2 linked regions of the Kluyveromyces lactis genome follow. The protein of the gene in region 2 interacts with the protein of the main gene of each other region in a pairwise test. Links are inferred from orthologs where the notes say so. Each region holds a gene or a part of one and is shown on either strand. Other genes may lie near its edges. The genes, in order: OSH3 and SCS22.

Region 1 (4,345 bases), on a different chromosome or scaffold from region 2:
GGTTATTTAAATCTGACACTTTATTATACATATTTTGACACTATGCGGAGTGATGAGTGGCCGAGATAGTAACGGCCGAATGTAATGGCAACGTGCTTTTTTACCTTTTTCTTTCACCATAAAGATTTGGTGTTGCTCCAATCGTGCCTTTTTCTTCTTTCCCAGTAGTTATTTTCACCAGTAACGGGGAGCCATTTCATGGGTTTAATCTGTTTGAAGTATTGAGGTTGTGCGTCTTCGCCCTTATCTCTTCTTTCACGTTGCTTTTGTTCCAGTGACAGCTTCATTTGTTCAGCCTCTGTAATGATACCGTTTTCATACAGGCGAATATCGGGTCTCAACCGGGAATCAGTTGGTGGTAAATGATCCTTTTCTGTCTCTGTGATCTCGTTCAAGTTGGAGGTAAAAACGGTGAATCCGTATTTCTTTTCACTGTTTTCCACTAACGGTCCGCATTTCCAAATTTGTTGGCCGTTATCGAGATCTCGGACCTCTTTGGTCCACTGTCCCTTGAGGGATCCAAGCTTTTGGCCCTTCTCGTTGACAAGACTCACGTCGACGTCTTCGGATCTTCCACTGAACATGCCTCCAGCTTTGAATGCAATGATGGATTTGAGATTCGTAGACGTTGATATTGAGAACTGGTTACTGGGTTCCATGTACCTTTCACCAGCAATGATGTTTTTCAATACGATGGTAGGTTGGGACCATCTGTATTTAGCATCGATGTTGTTGAAAGTTAGTTCGAATACTCCCTCGTTGGTAAATTCGATGGATTTCCCCCAGAATTTCTGAACCGGTGTTACGGTGTATGAGCATTTCCAATCCCTGTGTTCTGTGTAAAATGCAAAAATAGGTGGTTTATGGCACACTTTTTCTGAAACTAATCGGATACCCATATCCTCACGTACTAGTTCATACGTTTCACCCAACAATGGGGTGAATGGCTTCCGTAGTGATCTTGTCTTTTGTCTGTGAATGGACATGTATGACAGTGCAAATGCACTGATGTATTTCAACCTTTGAACTTCGTCGTCTTCCATTGTGGCAGCTTTGCTTAAAAGCCAACTGTATTCGAATGCCTCGGATAGCACTTGTAAGATAGATACGGGTTCGTTTAAACTGATCGGCATTGAAATGCTGGATAGATCCTTACCGACATTTTTCCGTAAGAATCCTAATAAACTTGGTGGGGTTGATACTGGTATTGCGATATCGTTTCTGCGCTTTATAGTTTTGTTGATTGGTAATGGTGATAGATCTTGAGATCTCGATGTTGCTGTTTCTATAGTCTTTCTATCTGTTGATGTCATTAATTCATTACTAGTTGGTGTTGTTGTTGTTGTTGTTGTCATTTCATCTTCTTCCTCCTCCTCTTCTTCTTCAGCTTCTTCTTCCTCCTCTCCTTCGCCTTCCTCCTCTTCATCCTCGTCATTATAAGAGCTGTATATTGGTCTGATATCGGTTTCAAAGGCCACATCGTCATTTAACATCGTGATGATAGGTTCTTCATTTGCATCGAAATATTCGTCATCTGAAAAGATGGAAGCAGTTGGCGATCTGGGAACCCATTTAGTAGCTAACATCTTACCATCAATATCAAGTTGCTTGGCAATTTTCTCCAAATCAGCTAGCTTTCTATATAAGTCATGATGTTGAGGCTCGTTGGGATTATTAGATAAGATCGAAGTATCATGGCCTGAGGTAGCTTGTTCTACAAATGAACCGTTCCGTTGCCTAGAAAAGGAGTTCATGAATGAAGAAACAGACGAGGACCGTGACACATTCCTCTGTTGCTTTGAAGATGTCGGAGGGCCCTGAATGGGAGATACTATTGCGTTAGGTGTGTAGTTAGAATAGGATAAAGATTGATACTTGCATTCTTCTATTCTTTTCCTTAGGGATGTTAAATTGCGGAAAAATGCTGTGGTATCATTATCAGGAGGAATGACAACGTTATGCGATTCGTGATCTTGCGAAGTAGTTGGGGCGTCTTGTTTGAAACATGACTCGATCATTGAAATCCAAAGTTCCCAATCTTTTTCGTCACGAGCTTTCATGACCCAGATCTCCATGCCTGAGTCAATGATAATAAGTTTAGTTTGCTTATTTGCACTTATTGATGAAAGTGGGACAACAATCTCACCACGACACACAGGAGATTTAGAGTTGAGATAATATGAGAGAATCCCAAATTTTATATCGAGTTTAAAGAACCGTTTGGTAAAACCTTGTAGCTTCTTTCTCTTCTTTTTTAGTAAATATCCTTGGAATCCTTTACTGTTTTTCAAATCGTGATCTGTCGCGGATGTAGAACTTGGACTCAGTGGTTTTATTGGCACTGGAGAATTAGTGTTTGGTCCGTTAGATGTACCCACGTTGGAAATTGTGCTTGGAGTAGTCTGGCCTGGAGATGGCGCAAATGGATTGGAATTCGATTTTGCTAATGAGGACAAAGATGGATCCTTGAATGACGTTTGGCTATAATTCAAAGGTCGCTTGCCATTCGTCCCATTGGCACCAAAGCTTTCCTCTTGGTTTGAAATGACGGATTCCTGATCGTCATCCAAACCTTCCATTGCCGATGCACTAGGGTTGATACTCACCGAAAATAAACATTTTTTCTTAGTCTGCTTCGAAGTAGTATTGTCTAAAATGAACGCGTAATAACAACTCTCACAAGTTGATTCGAACGATTCGGCAACGGTATCGTTGTTAGAAATGGTCCCATACCAGGTCACCTTTTCCAGACCGCTTTGTGCTAACCTTGTTTGCAACGGCACGTTTTTGTCCTTTTCGTGATCTGCCAAGGCAACGTTAGGCTTGGCATCGGTTGAAATTCGAATTAACGGATTAGTATTACTATTCGAAGAAGCTTTTACACTCCCATGGTTTGTTTCACTCAAATCAGTCGTGGATGATCCACCAAACCGTCTGTATATACCAAACCCTATCGATTTTTTCAAAGGTTTCAACCGAAACGAAACTATATCACCTTGAGAAACTTTCTGCCAACGCACAACAAATGATTTATTTTGAACGTCAATAGTATCCATGTTTGATGCCGAAAAAAATTTAATAGTTACAATTGAATCACTCTCGAAACTAAGTAGACGTTCCAATCTACCTTTATCGGTCGGTTATTCGCTGAAAAATCAATTCTGAATAAGAGAGATTAACCAGGGGAAAAGATCAACAAACACCTGATAGGCACGCAGTAAGAATGGTAATTATTCACAGGTGAAATTTAACTGACAATATCCGTTACCAGCAATTATCACCAAATTGATATATGATGCCCGCCAAAAGCTCGAAACGCACACTAGAAGTCTGTTATAGATGAAATTTGGATCCTTGTTTACTTCAAATTAAAGGTTTAGTTTATTATACTCAAGCTTTTTTTTAATTCATTTTCACTGAGAAGCTGCTTTGGGGCAGGTACTAATTTTCATCATTTAAAAAAAAAAAAAAAAAGGTTTATAATAGCATCCAACATGTATTCAAATGCAAAACATCGGTCAAAAATGTAAACCACAAGGAAAACACAGGCACTAGAGGCTACAAAACTGGTGTATAACTATCCGTCATCAGTTATATTTGTGATACATACCATGGAAAACCCGTATGAGAAAGTTCAAAGCAATATTCTGGCTAGAATCATTGGCAATGTCGAAAGGTTGAACCAGAGTGTAGTGATACTAAACCAAGAGCTTCGAAGGGTAAACACCAAGAATAAGAATTTGGAACTGATGTCACAAATGTGTGAGAACTATAGAGAATCTGTTGATTTCCAGTTGCAGGCAACTTCCAAGAAACAGGACCCATTGTAAGGTCTCACATATATTCTAACGAGAAGAATTTATTAAAAAAAAAAAGCAGTTACTTAAGTGATGTAGTATGTACGTATATACATACGCCTTTTTATAGTCGGTTTCAGGACCGTACTGATTCTAATTTACAGATAATAATGGATTAATTTTTTTTGTTCATGTTCAGTGAGTTTTAACCGGTGCAATTTTGTCTGCGGATTGTGTTCCAACTTGTAGGGACCTTAGTTTGGCAAAAGGTTGTATCTCTTCTTCAAAGTAACTCTTTGTCTGGAGTATTTGTCATCTGGAGAGAATCTAGCAGGGTGAGCAGACTTTGTAATTTCATTATCCTCAGTCATCTTCTTCAAAGTATAGATTCTCTTGCCTTGGGCATCCAAAGTGTACATCAAATGCATAGTGGGTAGTGGGTAGAGTGTGATAGATGCTTTTGGTTGGAAGTGAAAAGGAACTAGATATATGGATAACAAGACACTTTCTTTCAAGCGATGAGCTATACCGATCAGTTAGTTAATGCT
Region 2 (3,091 bases):
AATTACAAATATATATACTTCATGTATTCAGTGGATATCGTTGTACCTGTAGCTAGTTAAAGACAAGGGTCGGTGGTATTGTGCCAAATAGTACCTTGTCCAGCTCATTGCAATTGAGAAATCATTTGATGGCATGCGACAAATTGAATATAGGACAGTTGCCAAAAGAGCCTCTATAAACAGAAGAAAAAAAAAGGATGTAAAAAGAGCCAGAAAGAAAAGTATCAATGACGGTTGCTGAGTATATTGGGATCAATTTGAAGGAGAATTAGTTCAATATCTTTCGTCTCCCTTTGTTTTCAATGAGTTGTTTCAACGAAACAACGATGAAAAGAACAGCTGTGTCACAAGATGAACAATTTCAATACTAACTCAAATATCTTGTCAATGTCTTGGCTAGGGGAAAACATAGTACTAATGGCTGTAATGATAATACAATAACAATAATGAAGAATGATTTTAGCCGCATGAAGAAATCCTGCAAAGAAAAGAACAAACAGGTTAAAAAGTACGGGGGTAATTAAAACAAAAGAAACAGACGTAGATAAGAAAAGAAATACGAATATAATTCATAACAACATTTCTATCAAAGTCGAGAAATATGTTGTCATATATTATACGATGGTTGATAGTTCCCTCACTTAATCAGAATGTATCCTAAGATAACCAATACCAAAGTAAGAAACCTATAACGATCCAAATGACCACGGCCGGTGCAATATTCGACGTACTAGCGGGTTCTGCAATAATTTCAGTGTTAGCGCTGGTATCAGATTTGACCTTTTCATCGAGCTTTGGTTCACTTTCCACAACTTTTGGCTTTTCAGTATCCAGGTCAGTATTGGCAGATGCAACCGGGACAGATTTCTTTTGTACCGGTTCACTAGCGGACTCTTCTGTAGCTTTCGAACCACTAGCAATAGTTTCCTTGGCTGAAGGAATGACAGTCTCAGTTTGCACGTTATCAGTTTCTAGATTTTCCACGACTCTTGGTTCAGCATCTAGTTGATAATTTACCTTAATCTTCTTTGACAGGCCCTTGTTCTTGAACTCTGCTTCCAATTGAGGCCAAGCTTCGGCCACACTCAGTTCACCTAAATCGTAAGGAGCTGGCAAAGCTATAACCAAGAATTTATCTTTACATTTGAAATCTGGTGTAGGTTCTTCCTTCAATCCTAAAAGAATCACTTGAACATCAACGCTTTCACCGGCTGGCACCAAAGCGGCATTAGGTCTTACACAGTATACCTTAGGAGCTGTGGTCTTCACCTTAAAGGCAATTGTTTGTTCTGAGTCATTCTTGATGGTAATATGCTCAGCTGCTTGGCTAGTGAAAGGTGCTATTACGAAAACAGAGAGGTAAATCACATTGAATAATGGAATCGCAAAAATGATCCCATTAAACATTGAAATAATGATTTGGAAGCTTGTTAGTATATCGAATGCATAATAACAGAAACATAATATTGAGTATCTAAGCATCGGAGAATAATTCCATGTGGTTGAGGATATGGAACATCTATCAGAATCCCTGTAATCCTTCTAAGTATTCATCCCATTATTTGTCTCTCATGCAAGAAAAGTGAGCCAATATGGCCACACATTTGACCACACGAAGTACACTTTCAAATGCTAAACACCATATTTTGTAACTGATCATATAGTAAAGTGGTTTTTAATCCCTTTAAACCACTGCTCAAAGCGACACATACGTTTGTATTCCAATACACTTGGAGTAATTTCAACCATTGTAAACTTATAATAGTGAGAAACAGTTTATACACACTTGTGTTAGAGCTGGAAAACTAATAGACTTCCCGAATCTAACGAAATAACAAATCCCAAATAGAAAGATAAACGAATTAGATAACCGTACCTGATAATCTTCGAACAATTAACCTAGGAACCGATCACTGTAAATCCTGCCAAAAACTAAGTCTCTCTGTTCTTAATTGTAATCGCTTAGTTCAACTTTTCTTTGTTTGCAAAATGTCAAATTCGGGTATTTATGTGTGAGGGTAACCACAACAAATGAAATGGGCACTGAACCTCGTTACGTAATTATCATGCAGCGAGCAGTCGACACAGACTTCCCTCTCACTAAGAGCATTAAGCATCTTTTGAGGTACCAACAGTGCACGGTTTGATTTCAGTTCTTTTATACTTTATATTCTATTTAAACGAAACTGAATTTACCTAGATATGCATATGTTGTAGCGTTTGTTATGTATTGACTACGACAAGTCTTATGGTATCTTTCAATAGTCGTCACCACGAGAGACAATTTCCTTCTTGTGAGGATGTAGGATAAGGGTGTGTTCGAATTGAGCCGTATATGAGCCCTTAATATCGTTCAATGGTGGGTAGTCTTCTACAATACCTTGCCTCACCAATGTGTTCAAAGCGTATACGTGCTTGTCTTCGCCCAATCTATCCAAGTAACGACGACAGAACGGTATAGTTCCAAAATTTTCATCAATAACCTTTAATAGATTCTTGGCACTCGATAGGGATGGTGTTGGATGTGAACCGGGTTTCTTAGCATAATGAGAGCATTCTCCCTCTTGTATAACATACCCACGACCGGTACTCCCGAAAGTTTCGATAGCGAAATGTTCGTTTTCTTCCATCTTTGTGTTGTCACCGTTCTTGACAATTGGCACAGATTTACCCCCATGAATCGAATAAGGATTAATGTTGTGGCCGCACAAATTCCTGCATGGTTTCACTTGGTGTGTCTCACCGTTAATTTCCACTTCGTACGATTCCATCACTTCTTGAATAGCTTCACCGATATCAGTCAACCTAACGTCGATACCTGCCTCTTTAATACCAGTATTGGTTGCATCCTTCACAGCAGCCAACAAATTATCGTATTGTGGATCGAATGCAATAGTAAACGCAGAATCGATGATATAACCATTAACATGGACACCGAAATCAACTTTCATTACATCCTCGAACTTCAACACGGTCTTGTCACCAGCATTAGGAGTGAAATGAGCAGCACAGTGGTTGAGCGATAGACCAGTTGGGAACGCAATACCTTGGCTCTTTGGTCTATCAACGTGATCCCCATTGGCATCAGTGC

Evidence for each region.
Region 1: the proteins of SCS22 (region 2) and OSH3 interact in a protein complementation assay, tested with the Saccharomyces cerevisiae proteins (2 studies listed by BioGRID). The link is inferred for Kluyveromyces lactis from reciprocal best matches to the Saccharomyces cerevisiae genes SCS2 and OSH3.

What each region holds. Positions count from the first base shown.
Region 1 is NC_006039.1:1,465,694-1,470,038, reverse strand, and holds OSH3 (oxysterol-binding protein related protein OSH3), read right to left. Parts: upstream 3,057-4,345; coding exon 114-3,056; downstream 1-113. Other genes in the region: DAD4 (Dad4p), read left to right, coding at 3,612-3,830; snoRNP complex protein NOP10, read right to left, coding at 4,052-4,225. UniProt on the Saccharomyces cerevisiae protein: Lipid transport protein (LTP) involved in non-vesicular transfer of lipids between membranes.
Region 2 is NC_006041.1:623,350-626,440, forward strand, and holds SCS22 (phospholipid metabolism-regulating protein SCS22), read right to left. Parts: upstream 1,483-3,091; coding exon 658-1,482; downstream 1-657. Other genes in the region: MAP2 (methionine aminopeptidase), read right to left, coding at 2,259-3,091. UniProt on the Saccharomyces cerevisiae protein: Acts as an endoplasmic reticulum (ER) membrane anchor for cytoplasmic proteins via binding to the FFAT motif of targeted proteins. Regulates phospholipid biosynthesis by modulating the subcellular localization of the transcriptional repressor OPI1.